Struthio camelus: one gene and its partners. The protein of the gene in region 3 purifies or fractionates together with the protein of the main gene of each other region. This does not show direct contact. Links are inferred from orthologs where the notes say so. Each region holds a gene or a part of one and is shown on either strand. Other genes may lie near its edges.

The links.
Region 1: the proteins of TNRC6B (region 3) and AGO3 purify together in Homo sapiens (affinity purification with mass spectrometry; 6 studies listed by BioGRID and IntAct, with this or other methods). This does not show direct contact. The link is inferred for Struthio camelus from reciprocal best matches to the Homo sapiens genes TNRC6B and AGO3.
Region 2: the proteins of TNRC6B (region 3) and AGO4 purify together in Homo sapiens (co-immunoprecipitation; 3 studies listed by BioGRID and IntAct, with this or other methods). This does not show direct contact. The link is inferred for Struthio camelus from reciprocal best matches to the Homo sapiens genes TNRC6B and AGO4.

What each region holds. Positions count from the first base shown.
Region 1 is NC_090964.1:10,063,866-10,073,767, reverse strand, and holds the start of AGO3 (protein argonaute-3), read right to left. Parts: upstream 4,525-9,902; 5' UTR 4,472-4,524; coding exon 4,435-4,471; exon of another isoform or gene 710-4,434; intron 1-709. Other genes in the region: AGO1 (protein argonaute-1), read right to left, coding at 4,806-4,914, 5,537-5,736, 6,640-6,741, 7,707-7,841, 8,333-8,527.
Region 2 is NC_090964.1:10,023,349-10,033,447, reverse strand, and holds the start of AGO4 (protein argonaute-4), read right to left. Parts: upstream 3,871-10,099; 5' UTR 3,752-3,870; coding exon 3,655-3,751; intron 1,080-3,654; coding exon 914-1,079; intron 194-913; coding exon 73-193; intron 1-72. Other genes in the region: CLSPN (claspin), read left to right, coding at 7,608-7,628, 8,544-8,673, 9,238-9,692.
Region 3 is NC_090942.1:57,496,339-57,506,227, forward strand, and holds the start of TNRC6B (trinucleotide repeat-containing gene 6B protein), read right to left. Parts: upstream 4,394-9,889; 5' UTR 4,161-4,393; intron 1-4,160.

The DNA of each region.
Region 1 (9,902 bases), on a different chromosome or scaffold from region 3:
AATGAGCCATGCAACCTGCAGGTTCAGAGCAGACCTGTATGGGCAATTGGAAATGTCTATCCATAAACTTGTTCCAACAGAAAAGGCTGAAATGATCTTGCATGGGTAAGAGTGGGGCTCTCTGTAGACCCAGCTACTGAATTCTGCAAATAAGTGAACTCAGGTGTGCAGACATATCTAAACACACGCAACTTTACAGATACCAGGGAACCATCTGCACAGGGAACAAAGATATGGGTAAAATGTAAATAACAATTTTAAATTTGATTTTGAATTTGATTCATGCCAGATCCAGAGAACATTTTCGCCTATGTATTACCTGTCTCAAAACCACTGAAGTCCATGACACTAAGGCGCCAAAGCCAAGTAGCTGGAGAGGCAGCGTACTTTGACATACACTTATGACAGCTAATAACCAGGAGTTCAACTGAAGTCAGTTCTCAGATAGATGATATTAAAATAAAAAAATGGAACTGGCTATCACGTTCCAAAAAGTTTTAAGTGCATGCTTGTTCACTGAAGTTTTTCTCTCATTAAATTGAAATGGGCTGGAAACAGAGGAGTTTGGATCCTCACAGTATTTGATGCAATTCAGCTACAGTCAGCATTTCACTATTTGTTCTCAAGCCCTTCTTGAGTAAACTGCCAGAACTGGGAATGTATGCTTTTTCTTCCCCATGGAATCTGACTCAGGAGTGTCACCCCAACATATTCACATTGCTTTTATTTAGGTCTTCTGCCAACAGTTACAGGGTAACAGACACTTCGGACTGCAAAGTCAAAGTTGCAAGCAAAAATCAGGACCAAGGCAAAGAAAAAAATAATCCACAAAGCCAATCAAATCAAATATAAATACAATGTTCTGGAGCTCTTTAATCATACCATTTTCTTTAATAAAGAGGTGGTTATGCTCTTACAGTATTTTCTTTTGGCCTAATCCAAGGATTTTGTTACTCTTTACCAGTCTTAATTCCACGCATACAAAAAAATTGATATTCAACCTTTAAAATATAAGCCATATTTTCTTAATAAAATAAGTTTTGTGCTGCTGCTTGTTTAGTAAGTACTGTACATCAACTGTTCACGTCTATTTAACAAATGGACCATACAGAGTTCAAGCTAAAGCAAAAAAAAAAAAAAACACAAGAAAAATAACAACCCAAACAGAGTGTCTTGTAAACACTCTATGTACAGTTCAACACTTGCTTGTATAAAGGAGGTACGAAAGGGGCTAGAAATCGAACACAAAAGCACTGGAATCCCCATCAGTTTTCTTTCACAACTATTGAAGTGCAAATCACTCAGGCAAGATATGAATTTCACTTGTTTATTGCTGTCCTGCAGTCTGGCTTCCCTTCCTGAAAGAATCACATTCTTTTATTTCACGCTAATTTTCCAAGAAGAAAACCTTCCATGAGGCAACGCTGAATGCTTGGGCTTTTCGATCCTAGACATCAGGTCATACGCTTGCAAATACCAGAACACTCCGACTGCCTTCCCACTAAGCTCTCCTGAGGGCTGTTCTGCCCTCATGCACCCTGTTATGTTCAGATATGAGATAAGGGAAACAAACAGCATTCAACAATTGACAGATAAATGAAAGTTATTCCTCTTCCCACAAATCTGCATGCACTCGGCAGTTTTTCCAGTTGCACAACGGACACGTGCGCATTTAGAAGGTAGAGACTCGGGAGCCATTCAGGATGACTGTGTGGGGTTTGTGGCTAATTACAAATCGTGATATGTATACAGGTTAACACCTATCTGCTATGGGTAGCAAAACGCACAGCACCTCAACATGCAATTACTCATTTGCATCTTGGACAAGAAAAGGGTAGAAATACTGAATGCTGGAGCCGTGTGGAAGGTACAGTGCATAGTCCATTATACAAAACATGCGGGTAACTCGAACCCTTTCTAAAACCTCTTCAAAATGGAAATATGGTTTAAAGGGCACAGCAGCTGAGTTTGGCTTATTTATTTCTTTAAAACCATGAAAAACCCAATGCAGAGGGTGAAGTAAGGGCAGAACACGATCTGCAAGTCAACAGCTGAGAGTTTCAGAAGCCATGAAGCTTTTGTGTAGTTAAAATTGCTGTTAAAAGTAGGTGCTACATCAGCAAGTCTTCATTCATAGTTTTCTATGAACAGCCACCTTACAAATGAGTGCAAATCTTAAAGGTCCATTTTACATTTCAAGTCTCAAGGTTAAAAAAAAAATTGTTACAGAGCAACAAGCTGTTTCTGTAAATGCCCACGCTATCTCTTTTCAAATGGCTAAAAATGGCATGTGCTATGCCACAGCTACTAAAAGACATTTCAGAATTCTAGACCCAACTAAAACGTTAAAATAAAAAGTAGAAATCAAAATACCTTTGCCCTTAGCTGCCAAAGAGCAGCAAGGTGCTTTCGGTCATAATGCTGGTGAACAAACTGATTTGCAGAGAGAACCTTGACCATAACCCCCCAGTTTTATTCTCAGTGAGGGGCTTCCTAATACAAGGTGGGTGGGTATAGCCCCTCTGAGATCATTTCGCTTTCAATGAACACAAGCCAGAGTTCTGAGGATGAAATGGGAGAGGTGCTGAATTTGTGTCACTATGCAGGCACTTGTGTATAGGAATGTAGGCGTCTCATGTTGACACTTAGTGTTCACTCATTCCCTACTCTCTAAAAGCCCCCTTAAGAGCTCACTACCCTACTGACCATGAATGGTTCTTGGCTTTCTCCCCATCACCTTGTAGGTATACAGCAGTGGAGTTTGACACAAGGTGCAAAGGAGAACATGAGCCAAATACTGTAGTCTTGAGAAAAATACAACTGTGCTAAATGTAGGATCTTCACAAAACGTGACATCAGTGGGCTCAGCACTTAGTTTGCATAGCATATTGATGTCTTCATTTTTCACAAACGTGTTGCCCCAAAAGAAAACCAGTACACTGAATTCTTGGTATTAGGACAGAGCAATGGGTCAACATGACTAATGCTTTTATGAACTACTAGCAAGGCAAGTTTAAACATCAGAAAGGACAAAATAAAAAGGCGTGCTTTATCAATGCATGCTGACAAAGGGCAGTGCTTGTGATAGGCTTTGAAAATGCGTTCACTTTTGGCAGTAAATTGATAACAGAGCTCTTCCCCTTAAGAGCTCAGTAGCAGTGTACACGTAACTCTTTCTCTCGAAGGAAGCTTTGTGCACATTTTCATATCAACAAAAATCAGATAATCTGCCCACACGCTATTGGTAAGGAGTTGCTACTACTGCCCTGCTGTGCAGAATGGTCATTCTGTACAGCAAAATGAGTCCAAAAAACAGTCACTGTTTTACTGTTGGAAAAAAAAGGCTTTTTCCCCATTACAAACAAAAATTAGTAGGAGTTTCCCCCAGGACAATAACAAGTATTTCGTAAGTCTGACTAAGGAATAATCTGGTGTGCTTTCAGAATAAAAACCCTGTGCATGAAATCAGTGATACCATGACACAAAAGAGCAGCAAAACCTAGCAGCAGAATCTATGACAGTTTGGACATGCTGAAGTCGGGGTACGTGGTAGTTCAGAAAGCGGTCAGCCCATACGGACACGTGAGGAACGCACATGACGCATGGGAGACGAGGGCATTGAGGAATACCCCAAAGCTGCGTGGACTGCAGTTTGTAACGCACGCATCGGACAGGAAACGTTAGAGATCTCTGGCGGGAGCGCACAGCCTCAGGAAGTGCAGTGATGTAAACTCTGAGAATGTTAATGACTTGTGTATTTTGGCAACAGACTCAGTATCATATAAAAATAATGTTTAGTAAAAAAATCCCGGTGTCCATCATAGAAAGTCAGAAAAAAAATAATCGATAGCAATTTCTGTCCTCATGGGGTGAAGATGCCCCCATTTGTCAGAAACAGTTTTAAATAACAAGTAGTACATTGGAAACAAAAATGGGTCAGCAGCCATTAAACTTGTCCTATATGAAAGTGCACATCTTTCAATGGAGTTCAACCACCGTGAGGTTGTGATCTAACACAAACTGCAACTTAGGACCATAAAAATTAACTCCTTCCGATGGAAATATGGACCACCATCAAGACAAGGTTACTATTTTCCTTACAAGATTAAAAACATTGAAATTTTGCAGCATCATAGTAAGGCACTCACCCATGGAAAAGTCTGTGACTGTTGCTTCGAATGGCAGCAGCTAACTAGCTTTTAACACAAGGAAGACAGTTTTCAGTTCTGAGCTAAGTGCTAGGGTGCCTTACATTATATGGGGGGGAATTATTTGGGGGGGAACTGTTAGTGTTAGAATTCTCCTATAAACTAGTTGTTTTTCCCCTTAACCCATTAAAGCATCTCATATTCTAAAATATTAGTTTTATAAATCTAGTCTTCTGTTTTAAGGCTCTAAAAATCCCCTCCCCCCAACCCCACAAAAAATACCTACCAGCGCCTGGTGGGCAACGGAGGACCAAATCCGCCATTTCACAGTCAGGAGTCTATAGTATTGCATCTTAAAAATGAAAACCTGCTTCTGCCTCCTGGAAGTTTTATCCCTTCCTTAAATGCCTTCACGTGTTTGGTCAGGTCAAAATTTTGCAAAGCCAGAAAAATTAAAAAAATAATCAGTCTCTTCCAATCCTACAAAGGTGTTGGATCTTTCTGTCCCGTGGTGCTGGTCTCCTGCCTCAAATCGACGCTGCCTGCCCTGCAGTGATTTCTCATTGGAAAAAAAACAAGGTGTCCCAATGCTTCCTTTTTTGTATGGCTCCTACAAATCTGAAAGCTTTCTTGAGTGAGGTAACAAAAGTTAGGCTTTCAAGCAAAGTACATGGTACGTAAAGTGTCCTGATGAACCTGCACAGCCTTCGCCAAGGCTTGGGGGTCTCTGCCGTTGCTCTGTCCAGATATATGGCTGCCCTCGCCGCTGAAAGCGCAAGAAAATCACTGCGTAATTATTTAAGGCTTTCCCCGTAGGAACGTTGGGAAATCCCCGCGCAGGTCAGGGACCAGGATGCTGGATGCCATCTGCACCTCTGCCTTGCACCAAGGTCAAGGCGAGCCCCCACAGTCACCTCACGGCAGCTCCCGACCAACGGACCCAGCCCACCAGCCACCGTGGGGGATGCGAGACCCCCACGCTGTGGCGCTGGGGCCTGGCGATCGCTCACCTCTTCCTGGCTTATTGACGCCGCTGGGGAGAAGGATGGTGGCACGCGGCTGTCCCCGAGCACCAGCATGCTAGGTGCGCTGGGAACCGTGCCCAGCATGGCAGAGATGCCGGCATCCCGAGGAGGCTAGCAACGCTCAAACACCCCGAGGTGGTCACTGCAGGGCCTGGGCGAGCCCAGGACGGGGTATTAGCCCCCTTTATCCCCGCTCCTGCCGGGCTGAGCCCTACGAGGACATGGCTACGCGCGAGTCTCCCCAGGAACGGCTCTGCAGCAAAGCTGCTCCCATCCAGCCGCGTTCAGACACAGAAGCAGGGTGCCGCTCACTGGCTGGTCACCCCTGCGGTCCCTGCTCCGGGGACGCGCGTGGCCGCTCACCTGTCGTGCTCCTTGTCCACGAGGTGGTAGCGGGCCCTGAACGCCACCAGCCGAGCGTAGTAGGCCGGCGCTGGGATGGAGACCGAGCGGGTGCAGCGCACGTAGGTATGGCACAGCTGGTAGGTGAGGATCTGCAGCTCATCCGCGGTGAACCGGTTGTCATCCCAGAGGACGTAGTAGTGGGACGGCCGGCTCGTGCCCTGGGGAGGAGAGCGGGCGGTGTGGGAGGTGCTGCCCGCGCCCAAACACGAGGCGGCCGCAAGCGCTGTGCGGGAGAGGGGCCCGCAGGAGACGTCGCCCCCTCCCCGAGGTGAGGTCGGTTCACCCCATCCATCTGCCTCTCATTTCCACGCTCTATCCTGCCCTTCCCTAAGCCAAGGGCACCGCAAGACAGGAAAAAGCACTTTGCACCGAGGTGCAAACCAGCGCTAAAGCAGCTGCCCAGCCGCCCCGTTGCCAGACGCCCCGGGGAGCGAGCAGCAGCGACCTGCCGACCGGCGCAGCGCACCGCCTCCCTGCTGCACCGAGCCGGGCTCCCCCGCGGCTCCCCCTGAACCGGGCCAGCTCCGCGCTGTCCTTGCAGGCAGAGAGGAAGCCAAAAAGCCTCCCTTGCGGAAGCAGCTATAAATCAAGTGATTCAAGCCACAATTTTTTTCAGTGCAGCTTCTGACTAATCTTGGCTGCCTGAAGGAAGGCAGCTGCAAAGCAACCCGCCTGCTCCGGCCGGCTGTCCCCAACTCTCCACCCGCAGCCAGACCACGGATCCCGTCTGACGAGCAGGAGCACCGCGAGCCCAGCACGAGACGCCAGCTGACAAGCTGCTGATTTGGCCTCTCCAAAGGAGGAAATTCTCCAAGAGATCCTCGGCTCCAGGAGGGAGAGTAAGTAGGTGCCATGTACCGCAGCGGCTGTGCCATCCTGGCACCTGCTCCCCCAGGCGCTGCAACGGCCGCTCGGACAGAGCTGCCCACGTCTCCAGGGCCAGCCTTCGCCTTCCCCAAGGGAGGCGGCAGGAAGGGCCCCGTCTCACGTGCGAGAACGCAGCTCACAACCACAACAGAGGAAAAACGGCAGGATCACAACATCAGCTTGGAGCACGGTACCTGAATGCCTGCATGACTGCACAGGTAGAAGTCAAACTCAAAAGGGTGGGTGATATTTGTATCTACTGTTGTTCCCGCTGGGATGTTCCCACTCTTCCCAATCTGCAGGGAATAAAAAGAGATCCAAGCACCACAGTGTTGGGTTATTTCCAGTTTGGGAGCACCGTGCCGAGCAGTTCCACAAGCGCCTATTAAGTGGGGAGCAGAAGCACCTCTCCCTGCTCTGCCCTCTGCCCAAACAGGCTTGCTGGCATTTCCTGCCAGCATCAACACCAGGCACGACACTCAAACAGAGCAACCTACAGCTAAGGGGAAGCAGGCAGGCTGAAGGCTGGGCACCGGCCCATCCTGCTGCAGGAACGACGATTAAGTGGGCAAAAAGTCCAGGGATCTCTGCAGACAGTTTACGCTAGAGCTTCTGCCGTAAGGTATCACGGCTCTTATGCCAAGATCAAAACCTGTTCTCAGTCCCAAGGTTAAATCCTCATGATCAGGTAGAGGCAGAGTCTGGTCAGATTAGATCAAAATTAAATTTAGATCAAATCTAGGAAAAGTTATAGCAATCAATGAGTTACTCGGTGCTTTTGTTGCACAGGTAACACTCTCCTCCCAAACTCACAATTGCTCGATTCACGCCCTCAATAGCATATACACCTGCAAGGCAGAACAGCCCACCGCAAGTCCTGTTTTTTGGACTTCTGCTTGCACAGCACAAGATGTGAACAAGCTGTGAGCAAGCATGGGGTTATTCCTCCTGCCCCAATGTCAGCAGCTACAGCAATCACCAAAACAACAGATGTTTTCAAGCTGACAGAGGCCGTTTCAAGAGAGTCACCAGGATCATCTGCACCCAGTAACTCATAACAACAGCAAACAGCTGCCTGGATTTCTTGAAGCAGCCTAATCGGCACAGATGCAAGAGTCAGCTTAGCAGCGTGTTTCAGGCAGGGAAGAGGGCTCTGCCTGCCAGCAGGGCGCTTTCCACCCTGCGCAGCTCCGGGCTGGCTCTGCGTTAATGCCAGCGACGAATCGGACACCGCCGGCCCCCGGCGCTCCGCAGCGCTCACCCGCTCGTTCTTGTCCGCGCAGAAGAGGCGGGTGTGATGCCTTTTCTGGACAACGATGTAAGTGATGCCAGGCTGGTAATCCTTTTCCAGTTTGATGCAGGCGTCTCGGATTGCCAAGAGCTCATAGTGAAGGATCTAGAGACACAACCGCGCGCAGAGTGAGGCAACGCACGGGCTGGCTCCCACGCCCAGCTGCTCTCATGCACCCGTAGGGCACCCGCAGGAGCCGACGCAGGTTTAGGCAGTGGCAGGAGCAAGAGACCTAATCCTCTCCCCTGCGAGCCCTCCTGGAAAAGCTGCCTCGGCACGGTCTATACCCAAACACAAGTGGAAAAAGAGGAGAGCAAAACACCCGTTGTCCCAAGCTGCTTGGTGGCCGCAGGCTGCCCTGCACATCCCGAGTGGACTCCCAGATGCCCAGCACCCCCAGAGTTGCAAGCCTTTGGCCCAGCTCCCGCCAGCAGAATTAGCCCAATGCCTCCAGTGTGCACAAAGCCTTTCAGCAAACCCAACAACCTCAAACAGCACAAATGCCAGCAAGGCAAACCCAGGCCTTAAAGCCCCTTCCCTCTAGCCAGAGGCAGGTCGGCTCTGCCGGCCCAGCACGGCGCCCAGGGGTTCCTCACCTGCGGGAGCTGCCCCTCGGGAACGCCGTCGCGGTAGAAGATGATCCTGGTAGGTTTGAAGCGAGTGGATTTGTAGAACTGGATGAGAAGCTCCCTCACCATGTAGGACAAGTCCTCGATGATTTCCTGGCGAGGACGCTGCACGCGCACCGTGGCACAGTACCGGCTGGGGTGGGCATCCATGCTGCCCACGACCTGCAGTGACAGAGGTGAGCCAGGCCCACGAGTTACAATAAGGAGGACGGAGGGGACGTGGGACATTCCTGGCCTTCGAACACCCACAGCTGACAGCAGGCCCGAGCCGTCCCCGAGCTCCCAGACAGTGAGAGAAGAGAGCAAAGACCAAAAAGGACTTCCACGGTGGTGGCCACATCTTGGTTTCATGCTCTGCATGGTCCTCACTGGAATTTCCAGCGAGACGGCGGGCTGACACCGCCGAGCCACACAGCCGCTACGTGTGAACGGGGGTTTTGACTGCTCTGCCCCTGCTTTGCTCCTCCTGCCCAAGAGCCGGGGAGAGCGGGGCTGCCCTTTCCACTTGCTGATGCTCTTCTCCCTCTGTCCTTCTCTTGAGACCTTCTAGCTTCCATAAAGGACTACGCTATCCTGAACTTTCGTTGCCGTGATGAAACTGCAGACGACAGCCCCGGTACGAAACCCCACCTGCAGCTGCAGTGCCACCACTATAAAAGCTATTTAGATCCTTTTTAAGCTCACACCAGGGAGCTCCACCATCAGCAGGTCCTTCCCCCCGACCACGGCAACATCGCAGCTTCCCGGGCAGCTGGAGCCAGGTCTCTGCCCCAGGGCCACCCACCCAAGCGAGCGTTTGCAAAGAGCATCTGCCGGCATCGCCTCTGCCCGCCCCGGAGCTGCGGGGAAGTCCCGGGGCTGACGGGGCTGTCAGCCGTCAGCAGGGAGTTCCCACCGCAGCCTGGAAAGGAGACCTCAAAGACGTCAGGGCCAGAGGCGGAGGGCGGCCGGGCTCGGCCGTGACGCAGGGCTGGGGGCTCAGCCTGAGTCACGGGCGTCCGAGCGGCTCGGGGTCCGCGCGGGGAGACAAAGCGCCGCGAGGCCAGCGGGGGTTTCGCTGCGCGCTCCGCGTCCCGTCGGCCCGCAGAGCCCCATGCCCCCGGCAGCGACAAACCTCGCTGCCCCCGCTCGGGGCCGGTTTCGCTTTTGTTTAGCGAAGGCGGCTCTAGACGTCGGGCTGCATCGCCAGAGCTGATCCGCTCGCCAAAAACGCTTCCTCCGGCATCAGTCTCAGCAGCAGACCCCGTCCTGTTATCTTAATAACCGCCTATGCAGAGGGTCAAGGCCACTTGAAAGCTTTTCCCTCTTCCTCACCTGCAGTTTGAAAAAATCTTTCACACAAACTAGGGGGCGGGGGAAAGCCGCAGTGGTCCTGTGCAAAAAATGCACTTTGAAAATGTTTTCAGAGGGGAAGCGCCGCCGCCAGGAAACAGACTGTTCTGTCCCACCCACCCCTACGAGCGCACAGCCAAAAGCATTTCCTAACTCCTTTTAATTAAGCAAAAAACACTCCTCCAAAGATGCATCTGCATGCCAA
Region 2 (10,099 bases), on a different chromosome or scaffold from region 3:
GCTTTATGATCACTTTTCAAACTGCACTAACATTTTTTCAATAAAAAACTTAGTACTGCTCATAACACTTACTCTATCCCGGCCAATAGGTAACGGGTGCGCGGTATACATGTTCCTTTTCCCATCGTATCCAGGCTGCCGATCACCAAATATCTGCATTTTGAAGTGTCGCACCATAGTATCCACCACTTCTCTACAGAGGGAGGTATTCAGTTAGGTTGGAGCCTAGCAAAATTCAGTAATGATCTTACACCAATTTAAAATTCCGCATTCATGTTTTCTTAAAGGAGCTGAGTATCTGAAACAACAAGGCACTAGACTATACCCAAGTTTTTAGCAGACACCAAGAATAAGAGCGCCCTCCAGATTAGGACGCCTACGTTTCAACACATATGCAGGTGTCTAAGCTCCCATTACCGTCAGCAGAGATGTAGTGAATACAGACAGTGGAACGCGGAGAGCTGTACAAATATAGGAGCAAATACAAGCATCTATCTTCGGGTTAGCTGGGGTGTTCTACAGATTAAATTGACTACACTGACAAAATAACCATGTATGGACACCTAAAAACGTTGGTGTCAATCTCTAAGCCGAATTCCTCCCCTCAGCTGCTAACAGACATCTTTGTGTAATGGATTGCAGGGATATTCACTTGTAGACTAGAGAATAAAAATAGCTTTAGTTTAAGGCAAGATTCTTCTTTATAATACATTTCTGAGTGCCTTCTATATGGCAATCCAATTGCAAAAATCTTAATAAAAATAAGGAGGAGGATAATATACCTCTTGGAAAGATAAGGCAACTCCTAAGCACAGAACATATATACACTGTTCTTTAGCAGATGAAAAATTTCTAGGGTGTACAGTTGCCTTAAACTGAGGAATCTAAACTTTTTGTATTAAATGATTCATACCTGTTCACTCTTCGGGGGCGCTTTTCTGGTTTGATATCTACATCATAGTGATAAACATCAATCTTAGGGATCTGAACCTGAAAATGATTGGCTAAGAGGCGGATGGGTTTCCCAACAGTTCCCAGGCCAGGGCGACGGGGTGGCTGGAAAAGGCTTGCCGGAGGCCCTATGAAAGCCAAATAAATATGTATGAGATATACCTTATCATTCACTGCAGTATCCTTTCAGGTGTACTATAGTTGGGAAGGCTTTCTGACAGGGCAGAAAAATCTTACATAGTTTTCCAAGGTTGCAAATGAAAGTGTTCCAAGCAGCTTATGGCTTTTCAACAGCTCTACTCTTCCAGGTACAAAACAACAATGTATTCCCTAAAGCATATATACGTTAATGCTACATTTCGTTCTCAAAATTGTAGTGATGTTTGTTTATGACTGTAGTTTAGGAACTTGACAGAACTCCCAAGATGGAATACAGTTATTTACATAGTCTATTTTCCTATCTCTCTCTCTCTTTCTATATATATATATATCTCGTATGGCAGTAGGAATATAAATATTTATATATAGATTCCTATTACCATTTATGGTAAGAACAGCCACACTTTTTCATTATAGATTTAAAGTTCAAAAGTTAATGATGTAGCAAGTCACCCTTGCTACATTCAGGAAATAAACTCCCAATTTTCTCTGAAAATTGATGCAATCTGGAAATGGAGGAAAGGATATATTTATTCTAAACTAAATTAAAAACATATTTCCATATAGACAAAAACAATTTTGTCATATCCTTTATATCATGAACACATCACTGCTGTTAACAGTGAAATACTTTTCAACTGGAACACAATTTTGGCAAATTTCAAGTTCTAACACAAAGAATGAGAAAAAGTTTAGGCATTCTTCTAAAAAGAACAGTAAGGAACAAGCATAAGGACAGGTATAGTCTCTTAATAGATGTGGAGGAGAAGGTAATATATTTGGACAAAAGTAACAGCTTCAGAAGAAGCTGCGCTTATTTATATGGAAGAAATTATTAGAGGCTTAAGAAAGTACTCAGATGCAAGCTAGTCACTCTAATCTTTAGTTAATTTCTTCAAAGTGTTAGACTGAGATACCATGTTGACAAGATTAAACAGACTTTTAGGAAAAAAAATCTATTACAGCCTCATTTGACACTGCACATAAAGCAATTTGAATTAGTATATTTTCATTTTTTTTGTCTGTATGTGCCAGCACTTGGTATAACAAAAGTTTCTTCCCTCCATTCTACAGACAGTTTCTTCTTGCCAGTGACACTTGCTGGAGTAGCAAAGAGGAGGAAGAAAAAAATAATGGAATGTAAGAATGCAATATTAAAGCAACATTAAAACTTAGGGCCCAACTTAGTATCATGAGGTTGTGTCAACCTGGCAGTATCCATTTAAATCAGAGGCTCATAGCTCCAGAGGAGAAAAGAGGAGAGAGGCTCATGTTTGGATAAACTTCAACGTGCAGCAAGAAACTTAAAATAATCCTAAACTAAACCCAAGACTGCAAATCCAGGGAGCTTTAGAGCTTTTTCTGTGTTGGTTCTGCAGGCCATCTAATGGCTACTAGCATTATCAATTAAAAGTAAGATTTGAGGAGACAAACGCTAGAATACTTTTAAGAGTATGTAAGCAGATGCAGCCCACTGGATGCATCAGTTCTCTGAAGCTGCAGTAAGCACCGTGGCTCTCACCGCAGACCTCTAACTCGACACACCATCGGCTCTGCATCCATATGAACAATTGCAGTCAGTCAATGAGAAGTTCCTAATGCCAGAGTTAAACAGGCTGTGAGGTACAGTTAGCACTTAAAACAAAAAAACTACAGCTATCCCAACAAGCATGAATCATCAAGGGCAATCAAAGTTTGCTGTGCTTATTTGGATACTAGAGAGATGATCCATTAATCCCGTGCTAATTAGTCTGAAGTAGTGCAGGCACTGACCTCCTGCAAGAGATTAAATGACAACTATATTTACCCATTTTCCTTCTTCAGTATTGACAAGTTTTGTAAACAGCCGTGGCAACACTGACCTAGGCCAGTTTTGACAAAAGGAGATCAAAGTTACATCATCTTCCCTGAAATCTTTTAAGAAGTAACTTTAAACAGAATAAGCTAAAAGCTGCTTTCTCATTTGAAGCCAGGCTTCCCTGCAAGTCACACCGATTTTATCATGATTCTGGCCTAATCAGCCCAGGCAGGGTTAAATAAGCTGTTACTCTTGATTTCTTCTACCATGTGTTGATCATGTACAGCTTACCCTCAACCAAGTTGCTTCAGACAGGAAGTAGTTTTACAAAACTAAAAGAGGATCTACTCCTACTTTAGAAGTCAGAGAGTACCTACCACACCATACATCAGTATGCTAGACGCTGAAAGCAATCCCCCCACTAACTACCTTAAAATCTTCTTCTGACGTTTGTCTGGAATTGCATCTTCATGTCAGTAAACTTTCCTATTGCACCGAAATTAACACTACTTCGATTACACCAAGGGTTTGATCACAGATATGGTAGATAACATACACTGGACCGCTTTGGTCAAGAAATACATCTCGCAGACATTTTATGGAAGAAGAGCCACAGAATAAGATAGAATTAGGAAAACGCCACATGCGTAATAAGGCCAATATTGAACGGCAGACTGTTTGAAAAATCAGCGCTCACCCTTCCAGAAAGTATCAACCGTAAGCCCTTAAAAACAAAACAGACTCACGCCAAACACTACAACTCGTCACTAGGAAAAGACCTGCCGCAAGCGCGCTGGCGGGCAGGGTCGGAAGCCCACGCGTGCTGTCACACCTCCGTGCCATCGCGATTCCAAGTCACTTCCACGCCTAGAGCCCCGCAGCTGCGCTTACGGCAATGCCCTATCTGCCCTGGCGAGGGGAAGGCGCCCGGCAGCCCCAACACCAAACTTCTGCTGTTTGCGACCCGCCCGCCAAGTTTCGCGGCCAAGTTCCTCTCCGGCGGGGGGAGCCGGGCCGGGCCGGGCCGAGCGGCGGGTCAGAGCCGGCCTGCAGCGCGGCCCCGCTCCGCGCCCAGGCCGCGCCGGCTGCGGCAGCTCCCGCCGGGCCGCGGCCTCCTCCGCGCTGCGCCCGGCCCGGCCCCGCCGCCCTTCGCGCCTGACAGGGCCGGCGGCGCCCGCGCCCCGCCAGGCCGCGCCCGCCCTCGGCCCGGCCCGGCCCGGCCCGCCCGCGGCTCTCACCGGGTCCCAGCGCTTCCATGGCGGCGGCGGCCTCGCTGCGGTCCCCGCCGGCCCCGACGACCGCCCCGGGCCCCGCCGCCGGCCCCGCCGCCGCCGCGTAACGCTTGATCTCGGGAATATTGGCTGCGGGGTGAGGGGGGGGGGTGGCGGAACGGGACGCGGCGGCGGCGGGGAGCGGTCTACCGCGCTGCGCTCGGCCGAGCGGCGGCGCAAACAATCCCCCCGCTGCGCTGCGCTGCCGCCGAGCCCGCGCGCGCCGCCGCCGCCGCCGCGCGCCACCCCCCCCTTCCCCGCGCGCGCGCGCGCGCACGCGAGCGAGCAGGAGCCGCCGGAGGAGAAGGAGGACGAAGAGGCGCCTCCACGCTGGCCGGCGCCGCGGGCACGCGCGCGCACGCGCTCCGCCCCCTGGCGCCGGGGGCGCGCACGCCCGCACCCCTTCGACGCCGGCGCGGCAACAGGTGAGGGGCGGCGCCGGCGGCCGCTTCCCGCGCGCGGGGGGGGCGGCGCCCTCGCAGCGCCGCCCTGACGGGGCCGCCCCCGCCATGACAGCGCCGCCCTGACGGGGCCGCCCCCGCCATGACAGCAGCGCCGCCCCCGGCCCCCACCCCGTGTATTTGGGGGCATTTTGTCAGAAATCAGCAGGTTTTCCCCCGCACTCTGCCCTCGGAGGTGGAACTCAGCCCCCCCCTCCCCTTTTTGGCATCTCTGCGCAGTAAAGCTCCTTTACTGACTGCACGGGTGTATTTACTCAGGTCCTTTTATTAGAGAACTTCCTTTTTTCCCTCTCTCTCTCCTCTCCTTCCAGAATTTCACAGGTTGAAGAATTAGCCCTCCGACCACCCGAAGCTTGGAAATAGTGACACTGCGTCTCTCAAACTCTGCGTTTATCTTCCATTGCAAAATACAGCGCCTAAACCCCACAGCCCGCGGTAACGACTTCCTCCGCTCTTCCCGTCCCCCACCCCCGAAACGGGGAACTCGCCTAACTTAATTACACCCGGTATAACTTCCTACACCAGCGAAACAGCAGTAATTCTGGTTAAAATACCTGAAAAAAATAACGTGTAAAAGTCACCGTGAACGGCTGCAAATTTTAATGCCCTTCAGGGCTGTAAGCAGGGCCAACACTTCCACTAACAAATTTTGTGGGCGAAAAATGTGTAGTAAGTGCGATAGGCTTGTTTGCCAGGGCTAATGATCGGTGTCTACCCAGCAGCTAACAGCTGACGCAGAGATCAATAATAACCATGGGATGTCACTCAGGCACCTTCTGAAAAAGTACTGTGGTAGGGAATTAGCTGGTTTGGTTATTAAGCCAGCTAGTTTGGTTATTAAACTCTTGGTGCACCTTTCAGGACTCACACCGTACACCCATTTTTGGGCTTGTTTTGGTCAACCTCTCTTCCCCCTTCCATCAGGGAAGATCCCACGGGCTGGTTTCAACCAGCACTGGCAACGGGGTGGGCTCACAGACAATAACTTTGGTAGGCTTTATTTTATTATTAGTTTTAATTAACAGCCAGGGAGAGGCCCTTAAAGTAGAGCCCTTGCTGCAGAAGCAACCGCTAGACCCTCTGTCTTGCATAGCCGCAGGAGGGATCTCATAAGGCTGAGGATACGCCTTGGGAGAGAAAGGGGCTGACGGACGCTGGATTTCAGATGTTTAGGTCGCGGAGGACACAGCGTGCAGGAACCTAAAATCAAGGGTCCTGCCAGCGCTCTGCTTGCTGAGATGCTCCTAGACATGCAGTGCAACCCAGTAGTTTTGATTTTGTTACCTGCAGTTTAACACAGTTTGTCTCTGCTTTTTCAGCCCAGGGGTTACTGATGCTTTGCCTTTTAAGAAGCTTTGCTATTTTAGTGAACGGCTTCCTTGCACATCCCACTTTTCTCTTGCTACCATTGAGTTCTGTTAAGTCAACAATTCTCAGCTGACTCACAAGTAGGTCAGAAGTCAAAACATTCTGTAAATAATAAATGCTGTGTCCATTTTATTTGCTTTTTTTTAAACCTGCAACATTTATTTTTTCAAGACCTTCTCTACAAGTAGAAGCATCAAAAACCTTTTAAAAGAAAATCAAATCTGCAGGTCTCATAACTGCCTGACACTAGCTGAATATTTGAGGGAAACACCAGCGTTACAAGACTTGTAAAAAAAAAAAAAACCCATGCTGGCCAGCAACATTTCTATGCTATTATTCAGCATACATATGTGTGCATAGTGCTATTTAAACAGTACTTAAAAAACAAATACACAATCTCTGCCTCATGGAATCTGCAGTACAAAGGCTTGGTCCTGTAAGATGCTGAATATGACAAAAGAAGCCTGTATTTAACGCATGAAAAGCTTAAAAAAAAAAAGCAGAAAAGCAATTAACCTGATAAATAAGTATAAGTTGCGGCATCCTGACAGCCAAAGTGGTCAGGACCTTATTTCTGAAAGTTCTCCCACCCTTATGCTGAAAACATCTACATTCATTTTATTTCCTTTCTCTTTTACATCTTTTACATCTACTTTTACATCTACTTAGGCAGGTTACCTGAGAGACGGTATCTTAACCATATTCATTAATGATGTTTTTGCAGTGCCAGCAGCTGCCTCTCCCGTTACTAAATACCGCCACAGAAACCAGCATTGCGTTGTGACGCCTGCAGTAAGCCTCAGGGGCGTTTGCTTTTCTCACTTCTCCATTCTAGGATGTGTGGGCTAGATGGGAACTATCATAGCAGATTAGCCCATCTGTTCAGCATCCCCCGCAGCACTGCGATGGATAACAACTACTTCAGAGTATATACTTTTTTCCCCCTTCCCCTCCCGGGTTTGCCTTCATGGGCGGACAGCAGGTTCCTGTTTGCACTTCGCGGGATGCTCCGGCGCTCCGGTGCGAGCGCTTATCCGTACTCACCCGCCCGGCAGCGGGAAGGCCGGTACACCCCCACTCCTAACCGCCGCCGGACGCGCGGGGGCAGGCCCACGCCGACGCGGCTCTGCCCCCGCAGCGGGCTCGCCACGCCACCCCCGCGGCCCGGCAAGGCCCTCTCGCTCCGGGCCCACGGCCCGGCCCGCCGCCACCGTCAGGGCACCTCGCACCGCCACGGCGGCCAGAGCGGCTGGCAGCGCACCCCTCCAACCACCCCGCGGCCAACGAGTCACTCCAAGGTTCTGACAGCAGGGGGAGGGGGCTGCCCAATGGCGGGCTTATAGGGCGTGCAAAGCCTTGAAGGGAGAGCCACGATTGGGCGAGGCGAGGGGAGGCGGGACTTCGCGGGAAATCGTCCAATAAAGCTCGCAGGGGGCGGGGCTGTCAGGGCAGCTCTAAGTGCCGATTGGTTGGCCCCAGAGGCGGGGCGGGCCTTGGGCAGCGCGCGAAGACTCGAAGCGGTTTCCTACCCGGCTGGGCGGCCGGAGGGTTTGTGTGGCGCCGGGCCGCGGGTGCCGGGGTGGGCGCTCGGGCTGAGCTATGGCGGCGGCTCCTGGTGAGGTGAGTTCCGCTGCTCTGTGCGGCCGGCCAGCGGCGGCCCGCTGCCTTCCCGTGGGCTTGGTGCTCCTCTGGTCGCGGCGGGGAGGCCGGCGGGGACGGGCAGCGAGTGAGGCGGCAGTGTCCTCTCGATTACCGGAGCGCGCCGGCGGCTTCGCGCCTTCGCCGGACTCGCCTCCCCCGTACCTCGGACGGACTACGCTTCCCAGCGTGCCCTGCGGAGGCTCATTCCACTTAGCGCGGGCGGTGCATGCTGGGAAGTTGGTTGCCCTGTCGGGGGGCGGGTGCGGTGCATGCTGGGAAGGCTGGTGCCCGTTCCGGGCGCGGTGCGTGCTGGGAGAGGCGCTGCGGCCTAGGCGGCACCGCCGTCACCGGGGGCGGCCGGTGAGGGCCGGCCCCGGCGGCTGCGGGCCCCGGGCGGCCGGGGCCGGCACGGAGCGGGGCCGGCCCTGAGCGAAGCGTCGCGGGGCCCGCGTGTGCGGGGCCAGCACCCTTCTCCCTCCGGCCTGCGTCGCCGTGCGCGGCCCCCGCGCCTCGTCTCAGGGCTGCTTTCTAGAGAGCACCCACAAGCGTCTGGTCCCTCCCCCTGCACTGTGTAAAATGCCGCTTTCGGAGATGAAATTTCAAAGTTTCTCATCAATTACTTCATTCTAGTAATTTTGAGTAATGTCAGTAGAGATCTTCCAGTATGTTCTTTTTTTTCCTTGTGCAAGCTCACATTAAACATATTTAAAAGCCAATAAAGGTTGATGTTGCATAATTCCCCTCCGTGTAAAGGTGAATTAATTCTTAATAATATGTGTGCATATATTCCTATGTAAAGAGTTAGCCAAGGTCTTGGACTAAGTTAAACTGCATGAGTCATTACTACATAAACAACACTTACCATATTAAGGATGATTTTACTTTGCTTTGTAGTTTCACTTAGAAGATTTGAAATCAGACTTGCAGAAAACCACTGATAGTGATTCTGACAGTGGACAGGGCAGCTGTGAAACAGGCTCTCCAGGTCACCTCAACAAGGAGAGAGCATCTCTTGATGACAGAGGTCTGTAATATTTCTGTAAATCGTGCCTGGAGGTGATTGTCTTCAATAGTGAAAGTTGAGACTACATGATCTTTGACCTTCTGAAAGTTGCGTGTTTTTGTTGCACCTGTATGAATCCAAACTGCCCTTTTGGCCGCTAAGAATGCGGGCAGACAGATATCTGAAAACATCAGAAAACCAGTTCTTGAGGTTCAAAAAGATAAATGGGATGTGAATATCTTAATTGCTTATTTTCTTTCTTTTTTTGATTTGCTTAATCTACCAAGGGCAACATGATATGCACTTATTTAGTTACTGTATTTTTATTTTTATTTTAGGGGCTGTTACTAATTATTTGTGAATGGTCTTTAGCTTTTTTAAGTCTAAAAACCTATAGCATCAGTTTGGGTCAATTATGTATTGCATGATAGGAAACAAGTGGATTTTGAATTCAAGTTATTTTGCTATAATTGTTGAAATCTGTGAAATTTAGTAGGCTTATATGTAGGCTGTATTTAAGTGATTGCTTATTAATGGAGTTCACCTCTCTATAACATGCATCCCTTTTTTAATATATTTTGTCAGATTCAGAGGAAGAGATTTTTCTAAGTAAAAAAACAAAAAGCAAAAGGTTGCTTCGGGATAGTGAAAGTGAACATGAAGAAGATAGTGGCTCTTCTAAAAAGAATGATACTCTGGGTGGAGTCATGGAAAATGGAGAGGAAAAGGAGAACATTACTGCCCAGAAGAACAAAAAATCTCATCGAGTTCGCCAAGGTCTGCTGGATAGTGAGGACAGTGACACTGGTGACCGATTGCAAGTTGAAAACTTTGAAACGAGCAAAAAGTCGGACTTTCCTGAGAATGAGTTGGGAGAGGAGAGACCCCTAAAATCTGGGAAAAAATACAGAAAACATAAACATGATTTTGAAGAAGAGACAGCCAAAAAATCTATAGGAAAACCAAGGAGAAAAAAGGAGAAAGAAAGAAGGACTGAATCCATTAAGCAACTGAAAAAAGAAAAGAAACCTAGAGCAGAGGTATATATTTTTGGCAGAAAATCCCAAATGGTTTCCCAACTAAGTTAAATTCTATTTCTGCGCTTGCTTACTGTGTTTCAATGTTTCAGCATCACTTGTGTCCACATTACTACAGCAGGCATTGTGTCCACAGAGGTCTATAGTTCTGCTATATAGAGATAGCAGTTTTATTTACAGAGAAAGTACAAATCCTAGCACTCAATGATTTAACATCAGTGCATGTGAAGTCAGGCAGGGATGATGATAATGGGTGTCCTCTTGAGAAAGAAGGGGTTGAGGAGAGGAGTGTTGATAGGAGTCTATTTTAGTTTGGTAATTCTGTAATCTTGAAAGTGATGTGTTATGCTTCAGATTTTTCCCTTATCCTGCTTGTCAGCAATAGTTAGATGACATCAAGATTTCTCTTT
Region 3 (9,889 bases):
AGATATCTGATTTCAGAACTACTAAAGCTGACGAGGCCCAGAAATGCAATCTGTACTGGCTAGCTGAAACTGGAAAAGGTCATCTCCATAGCTCGCTACATGGTAAACATAGAGCACATCCAAACGCCAACCACAACCCTTACGCTGATGAAAACTTAAAAACCTCAGAACATTCCCCTACAACATGCAAACCATAGTAAGTGCAAAAAGATGCTTCCCTTCTTACCGCCATAAAAAGGCAAAGGGAAAATTTATTTAATATACTCATTGCCTACTGCTCCACAGGAAAAAAAAATACATGAAATGTTTGCAGCAAAGCATATTTACTTCCCTGAAGCACAAATAACGAGAAATGCTTTCACTGTTTTTGTGCAGTGCAAAGGAGATAGGAACAGTAAAGCGGAGAAATGTAGAGAAGTATGATAGAGCGCTTTTCTATATGCTGAAGACTACACAGAACAGAAATCAGAATATCCTGATTACTACTACACTAGTCAACTTGCAAGCAGAAATACCAACTGGCAATTCCTTGTCTGACAGTGACAGCTGGTCAAGTACCAAAAGTGCCCCTACTTCTATTAGCAGACGGTAGCAAAAAGTTTAGTTTGGATTCACAACAAATTAATAACGATGCCTCAGTCCCTATTCCACATGCTATGTGCTGAAAGAGCAAACCTTAGCATATGTATTTTATCTGAAAAGAGAGAAAGGCAATAAACATTAAGCTAAGGAAGACTATCTGCAAGAATCCAAAAATCTTAATTCTATTGTAACCTCATTTTTTGTTAGTTAAACCATTAGAAATGTATGTTCTTAGTGGATAATTCCACATATCTGTGGTAAGTCCTTCCTATTATAACTGATGACTGGCATCTTACTATTTTTTCCACAAGATAATACAACACTTCACAAGTGTTATTTCCAAAAGCACAATAAAAATCATTAAAGGCAATTCCAAAGATAATTCAGGCACACACATTATAAGCAGTGAGGTGACAGAAAACTTCCATGTTAAAAAAAACCCTGACATACATTTGGTGGTATCAGATCCATCCCTTAACTATGCATTAAATATGGTTAATTTATCAGATGAAGACAAACAACACCAATTCTTCACAATGACAGATATACTGATCCAGAAATTACTGGTAGAAAAAGGTTAAGTGGGAAAATAAAATAAAATAAAAAAGAACTGTGAATGCACTGCGGAATTTGTGAACATAATAGCACTAGAGAGCAATTACTGAGAAAAGTCACGGCAAAGAAGGCAGAGAATGACACTTAATCATTATTACTATTATTGCACAAACCAGATAGTATCTATATATAAAAAGATATTGTTGGGGGAAGAAATGATAATAGCAATAAGTGACTAGGACAAAAACCTTTGCGTTCGGCAGAAAACGCAGAATAAAGTAACTGAACTATTACGCAGACTATTAATAAATTCATTCAAGTCAGTAACTAAGCTTTTTTTTTTTTTTTTTTTTTTTTTAGAATTTGAAGAGGACTTGTGTTTTAGGCTTATTTTATGATCTCCAGCTGATACAGCTTAATTGTTAAAACTCTTCTGTGAGCAGAAACACTAATTTTGCTGGGGGAAGGAAAAAAAAAAAATCAAACCCTAAAATAACAAAAACTGTTTAAAGATATTTTCAAATGACTTATTGTATGGCAGATCTCTAATTCATCCCATCATTTTGGATGCAACTATCTGTATACATGATGCATACTATGCATCTGCACAACAAATTATTTCCATTTTTCTATTTCCTATGAAAGGAAGAAAATCAAAGGTAAAATATAGCGTCTCAGAACTACGCATCATTTCCTCCTGAAGCTCTCTACTCTTCAAGTTGTTCTCCAACATCAGTAAGCTACATACTATTTCAAGTTTTAATGATCAAATACACCTCACCAAGCAAAGTTGTGACACACGTTCTACCTCAATGAGTTCATGAGAATGCACAATCGCACAAACTCAGGTAGACAATACTTTTGATTCACGCCTTCAAGACTTTTTCTCAAAATATTTGATGTAGCAAAACCTCATTTATAAGTGAAAACTTAGATTTCTAGACAAATTTACAGCTATATAAAAACTGCAGTAACACACCAAGACATATGACTACTTAATCAGGATACATAGACTGTTTTATAACTAATGTTGCAGTTGTTCTTTCTACTTTATGGGACTGAAGTTGTTCCCTTTACTAAACATCTCAATAACAACATTACCAAGAAACTGAAACTGTTGAATTGAAAGTTCACAAAAAAAAAAAGTATGCACAGTAGAATTTTACCAATTAGCAGAGAAAATTGGGAGCTAATTTTATACATGTTTACATAGTTTTACAGAAAATTGTATGTTCACAAATAGAACTTTTACGTACAACATATCTGGGCAAGGTGAAAGAGCATAACGCTAACCTCTCCTAGCTTCTATGAAATAAGATCTTGCTGCCCGCAGAACTTTACAGCAGGAAAGCTAACACGCTTGCTACCTCAAGAGGGTTCCACTCCTCCTTCCCCAGCCTCAACTTTTTGCAGAGCTACTTCTTTACTGCAGGACTGACTAGTTTTACCTGCAATTGAGTTACCAAACACAAGTGAAAAGCCACCCATTTTAAACAAATCTCCAAGGCAAATCTACACCGCAGTCACTACGCTAACTACAGATCACGTAGAAAAACTTGACCCTCTTTTTTAAATTAGGATCTCAGGTAATACAGCAGATCAGAGCATTTACTCAATTCTCAACAGCAGGCACTTTCCCAAGAAATCTTGTCTCATCACAGCCACTCCGGTAAGAGAAGACAGAATTGTTGAGCAATTGCACTGTAGACATACTAACTGCAAAGCTGGTTGAATCTGTGTACCTATTTAATAATTCTGTGAACTAAAGCTGTTGCCCAACACCACTTACACCAAAAACTAAAAAATTCAATTTACCTGAATAGCAATTTTGCTAGAGACTAATAAGCAAACCAGATCTTTCAAATATGGAGCTATACAAACCACAAAGTTCTACCTACTACTTTTCAGTAAAATTAAGATTCACGGTTTTTGTAGGGGACAAAAATCTGGGTCATTGAAACTTAATAAGTCATGGCTAAAAATAATAACTATGGACATATTAGTTAATTCTAAAGGTACTCTGCAAGCTCTATGCAGATAGACAAATGGATGTCCTTAGTGTCAGTAAAAAACCTTCAATATTAAACTAAGAAAAATGAAGTATCTTGTACTTAACCATGCTTATTTTAGGTAAAAAAAAACATTTTGTTGAAACCTGTTAGTATTTAAAAAAAAAAGTCCTATTTAAGATTCTGCTACATGGAGCATTGTAAAGAAAATTTGGGTGTGCAAGATGCCATGCTAGAACCAGTGTTATCCAATGCTGCTGAAGCGTCTCCTGAAACAAATATTCGCTTATTTTCCTACAAACGGCTCAGGAAACTTTTTTTTTTTTTTTTTGCGTGCCTGGGACACACCTCTAAGCACGGTCACTCCTCCCACCCACATACACACATTTTAACTAGCATCGTGTTCGACACATCCAGTGTGGTTTGTAGTGGTATCGACATAACCTCAGGATTGTCCCCACACGACACAAAAATCACTTTTTTCCTCCAACCACAGAAAGGCTCCTCGGCGTCCTTCCGCCGTTTTACGTTTTGCTCGCTCTGGGCGGGAGGCTCTTGCCCGGAGGGAGGCGGGCTCGGCAGCGGGAGGCCACCGGGCCACCGGGAGCGCAGCGCTGCGCGCCGCGGCGCCAGGCAGCGGCCTCGGGGCCGCCCGCGCGTCCCGCCGAGGAAACCGGAGGGGGCGGAGGGGCGCGCAGCCGCGGCGGCGAGGGCGGCGCGAGCCCGGCTCTGCCCCGGGACAGGCGCGCGGCGGCGGGGGAGCAGCGCCCTTGAGCCGCCGCCGAGCCACCCCCCTCCCCCCCCCCCAGCGGCACCGCAGCTCGGCGCGGGGGGAGGGGGCGCGCGGGCCGCGCCAACGGCCCCTCTCAGGCAGCGCGAGGGTCCGCGCGGCGCCAGGGGCGGGAAGGGCCCTGAGGTAACGCTGAGGGAGGCCCGGAGCCAGCTCGCCCACCCGCCTGTTCCTCCGGGGCGCGGGGAGGGGGAGAGGGAGGAGGGAGCTTGTCCCGCACTCACCGCTGAGGAGGCGCCGCCGCGGTGCGCTGAGCCCCCTTTTTCTCAGTGCCGGAGGCGGCTCCTCCCGCCCGCCCGCCGGGGAAACGCGAACCCAGAAAACAAACGCGAACAAGATGCGATAACTGGCCCTCCCCCTTTCTTCCCCCCCCCCCAAAAAAAAAAAAAAACTTTCCTCGCCGCCGTCTCCCTCCCCCGAGGAGCACGAACCCAAACACACCGAGACACTCCCCCGCACCGCCCCTCGAGCCGCCTATTGGACGGCGCCGCGCCGACCCCCGCGCTGATTGGGCTCATCGCCTGCTCGTCTTCTCTCTCCTCTCCCCTTTCCGCCCTTGCACGCTGCCCATTGGGAAGAACCCCTGCCATCTCTCCGCCCATTAGCCACGGAACTTGTCTATCAAAGGGGGACCCCGCCTCTCAGCTCCTCTGACTGGGCTGCTTCGTCACTGCCCCCGCACTCATTGGTTACATTTGCTGACTGTCATATCTTGGCATTGCCCCTTCGCAACCCTCACTGGCTCCTACCCCTTCTTCCTTCCTGCCAGTTGGCTGTAAGATTTGCCCCTAAAATGGGGCACCCACTTGGCCGCCCCTACTTGCCCCGCCCTCCCACAGCGCGGATTGGGTGGCAGCTTGTACCCTCGCACACCATTGGTGACTTTTATGTGCCTGTCACACCATAGCGAGCGTGCACTCCCGCCCACCGAGCTGCGGCGCTTGGCGGCCTTTTCGCAGCCGTCCGCGGGCCCTCCTCCTCCGCTGAGGCGGAAGGAGAGCCTACGTCAGTTGTCCTTAACTGTGTCTACTTCATCTGCCAGCCTCAAGGGCCGGACACAGTGACGGGCGCACACGGTAACGAACATGGCCCCGGCTGTCGCCACCCGGAGACGCGAGGCACCCCGGGGAATGGAAACAACGCCACACTCTGCACCGTCCGCAACGACTTCTACGCCTCTGCCCCTGCCCCTCCCCTTAGGGGAACGCCCGCCTGGGAACGGCCAACTCTATTGGGCAGAGAAGACGTCACTCGAGGGGCTCGCAAGGCCATTGGCGGCAGGCGGGCGTCTCCGCAGCCAACTGGCAGCGGCCCCTGGTGTCACCCGCCAAATAAAGCAGCAACGGGGCGGGTGTCGCCGCCGTCGTTCTTTGATTGGGTGATTTTACTGTCAATCTCGTTCCTAGGGCACGGGGCGGGGCGGGGAGGGGAGGGGAGGGGAGGGGAAGGCGGTGCCTGGCCGCCTGAGGTGCCGCAGGCGGTTGTTGGGTTTGCGCTGCGTGTCCTGCCCCACGTGGCCCGGGCAGGGGCGCACGTGACAAGGCGCCGCGGGGGCCCGCGAGGCTCCGCAGCGCCCGTTGGCGGCGGCGGCGGCGGGGGGGAGGGAGAGGCCAAGCGCGGGATGTCAGTCACAGCGTGACATGGCGGCACCTCGGTCCCCCCCCCTCCCCCGCCCCCTCCGGGTCCCTTGTCTGTGTGTCTGGGCACATCTGCACATACACATACAAGAACATAGCGTGGTGGACCCGCTGTGGGTGCTTTTATGGTCCATATCTTTACTGCGGGGGTTCTTGTTTCCCCTGGGTTTGCCTCGAGCTGTCGAGGCCTGTTTTAGGCGGCCTCGAAGGGGTCAATAATCTGCGTTCGCCTTATTACCCAACTATCATGTGTTTTAAAATTAAGGATGGAATCTGCACTTTGTTAGGGCTGATAGGAGTCTGGCCATTAACTCCCGTAAAGCAGTGTTTTGCCCTTCAAGCTTTGACAACCGGCTGTGGTTTCCTTTGGAGCAAAGCCTGAGGCTTTTAGGCCATGAGGCCACTCCAAACAGCTCGGTCCTGAGTATCTACAGTTGTTTTGTTCTGCAGGTTGTACAGACTAAAAATTTTAATAGTTTTCAGATAGAAGCTGTGAATAGCAATCCTGAAAACCTGTGCAAAGTGGTTTTATGGTGGCTACGGTATCATTTGTAAATTTAAGTATCAAAAATAAATGCTGGCCTTTGGTATCCAGTGAGTGGGCTGAGGCAGAAGTAGGGCTGCGGAGACGGGGCAGTGAGGGGCCACGGCAGGTGCTGGCCTGGGGACCAGTACAAGGCAAGGGTGAGGTGCAACGCAGCCGCAGCCCGGGGCTGGGGGAAGCACGGAGAGCGGGCATGGAGCAGTGCCGCTTGATCTGGGAAACGGAAGGAAAAACATGGCCATGCGTGAGCAGGACCCACAAGGGACAAAGAAGGGCTTAGCGCTGGCAGAGCAAAAGGGCGTAGGCAAAGGAGCCTGTAACTCTCTGAACGGATATGAGGAGAGTGCTGAGAGGAATACATGGAACTGTGTGGACGGTGTGTAAGCTAGAGAAGAGCGAGCGAGAGGGCATCTTTGCTTGTGCCAAACGTGTGTGCCGAATGACTCATTCTCGTTCTCCTTATTCTAACTCTCCAGTGTTTCTGAAGGCTGCTGTTACCTTAATGATGGTCACATCCTGACCTCACCCAGGGCTGCATGCCAGTGCAATGTTTTTGTTTGCTCTTCTCCGGAGAATTCTGTTACAGCCTGATCAACAGAATTCTGGGGCAGCTGAAAATAGCATTTTGGTGCTGAACAGAGAAATATAGAGCAGGGATGTCCCTGTCACGCTGCTGGGTAGGCCTTTGGGTGTTCAGTGGAAACACAGCCTGCCTTGGAAGAGCTGTAGAGCCTTTCATGAGTTAGTCATCACGAGGAGGAATAGCCGTGAGCACAGCAAAAAACAACATGTACTGCTGTCATGGAAAAAGCACGCTGGAAATGGGAGATGATGTGACAGTGCAAAGACAGAGTCGTTTCAGCTCCATTTTTTTTGTCTCCCCCCCTCCCAATAAAGCCCCCCCCCAATATTTTTTGTATATGTATTTCAGCTATAGAATGACCGAAAGGACCCGTTAGAGGAACAAGCAGACAAAATCCATGTGAACCTAGACTATATAACTCAGTAAACACTCTTTAGTCTTTTGAAGGCTTCCCCATTCAGGAATGGTAGTTGGATTTTTTTCATTGATCAGTGATGGAAAAAGTCCCTTAAGATGGAGCAGACTTCATACTGGCTATATATACTTGCTACTGTAGTGCTTTACAGCATGCAAAAGGCACCATATAAATCAACATGAAATAGTTGTATAAATTAGGGGTGTATAGGTGTCTCCTTTATTCCTCAGTATTTATTCACTGAGCAGGAAGCGACCGTCTTCTCTTCCCATGTCTATTTTTCTTACTTCTAAGCAGAAATCTTCTTTCTTTTCTTCTTTCTAAGCAGAAATCACTAGCATACAGTGAGTATAGGTTGCACACACTGGAAGAGAAGGATTTGCCCAAGATACTGACCTTGTCTTTGCCATAAGTAAAAATAAGAATAAAAACAAATCACTGCTTAAATTCCTGTTCCCCTCATTGCTATACTTTTGCCACTTTTTCCTTCATGTGCTTTGCTCAGGGTTTTTGCAGCTGTGCTTACGGCAGTACATGGAAAGCAGGGTGAAGCTATGAAGATTTATTTTGCATAGGCCTAGGAAGCCAGCAACTTTCATTCAGTGCAGCAAAAGATAGCACACTCTTTTGTGCCTATAGTTTCACTCTACAGAACAAATGTGAACTGCAGAAAGCGAGCGGATTGTATTGATTTGTCTAAAAATAATAATGGAAGGCTCAGAAGTTCTCATCCAGGTTCACCAGTGGATTGGAGGGGATTGCAGCTTCCGGGCTAGATTCTGGATCTCATAAAGTCCAGACACTTAAGAACAAAATAGTTCTTGCTATTTTGTCACACTTTGCCTGTCACCATTGCTGTCCAGAAAATGGGATAAAGTTGGCTAGTGAAAATGCATGTTTTTATCCACTGGATGTCAGTGTTAGGCTGTTGCTGTGGTGCATTTGCAGGTTCTGAGAAAGGCTGAACTTCTTGGGGTGAGCACTTTTGAAAAATCTTTGCTCTGTGGTGGGTAAATGATGTGAAAGACCATTGAAACCGCAGGGGAAAGGGATCACTGCAGTACGTAGACACACTCCTTTTGGTTTCTGCTTAAGTAGGCTGGGACTCTGCCTGCTAATGTCTTAACATGCCAAACCCCCACAGTGACTGCAGCCTGAGGGAGATCAAGAGAGGGACCCTGTCATACTGCGGTCAATCTCGTAGCCTTTTGACTATTTTGACCACCTCCTTACGCTGTGAAAATGCACGGCCTCTCCCTTTTAAAAATCTCTCTAAAAAGTACATATATTTTTGATACCAGAGAGACAAATAATATTGCATGTGACAGAGGTACAGTTCAGGAGCAGGCTGCATGAAGGGACTTTTCTAAACAAACAGGGAGCGCTGCCAGCTTGGGACAATCCTAAACGCAGGAATGAGAAGAGTCAAAACACTAGGAGCAGCCTTGATATGTGGGAGTTGAAAATCAGTTTTCTTAGAGCTGACATTTGGTTTTATGTCTATTTCCAGCAGAGTCATAACCTCTTTTATGGACTTACTAGATTTTTAAAATTATTGTACCCGAATGAGCTCTGGATAGTCAGTCACGTAAAAGCTACTAATATTGAAAAAACCTGTGCTAAGGCTGTATTTTTTTGTGCTTCAGATATTTTAAGCAGCAGCTATCCAGAGGGCACCAAAATGATCTATTTAGGTGTCTGCATGACTAGTAGAGATGGGTTACCTTTTGGAAAGCCGCAGTAAAGTATATGCTGATGCTTTTTGTTGTATGTTATGTTTAAGTAGTTTGGTAAGAAACATGGTGTTTAACAAATGATACAATGCTGTACTTTACCCACCTCTGAAATGCAGCCAGCACTGGAAAGGAAGATGGCAGTTGTTGAAAAGATGATTTGTAAAAAAGTAATAAAATAATTTATGTTCTCTTGTCATATATAAAGACAGCCTGATTAGGTTATTCTCTTGCTTACTTCTTTCCCTGGGAAGCTGCATTTTTATCTATCCTTCTTTTCTTAGAAGACTTTAGTGAAGATTCAGCAAGCATATGACATCAAAATACTAAAGAGAGAAAATATGAGAACCTGGAAACATTTGGATACTGTTTAAAATAGTGATTATCCTTATTTAAAAGTATTTATCCCAATAATTACTTCCAGAAAAGAGAGTTGCAGCATTTCCTATACCTTCAATTAAGTGGTGAAAAGATTTCCCAGCCATTCTTCCGCATCCTTCACATAGCTTTTCAGGGAACAAGCAAGCAAAAAAGGAATCAAGACTTCATATGCCTGGGAGCTGTAAGAACAGGGATAGGAAAAAGGGATTTGTATTTAAAATAAAGAAAAGCAGATTTCAAACCAATTATTTTTTCCTTTCTAGGTCACCTATAACAGTAGAGAATAAACATAAAAGTAATTTATGGAAAAAAAGAAGTAATGAATACTAGAACTGGGTGAAATAGCAGGAGGAAATTAGGGAGATGATGTTAAACATAATTTTCAATTTTGTACATTGGCCAGGTGATTAGAGGTAACATTCCTGCTTTACGAAAACTTGCAAAAATATCTTTAATGACCATTAGCGTTCCGGACCTGAGCTTTAAGCCCCAGTCAGATATGTCCACATCTAGAACTATCGCTAATACAATACGTTTATTTTGACATTGCCTATTTTTATATGCCGTAACTTTGAAAGGCATGCTGCTGCAAAAGTGACAGGAGAAGATCATGCATATCATGGGCAAGTACTTAGCAGAAGTTCAATTAGTTGTGCTCTT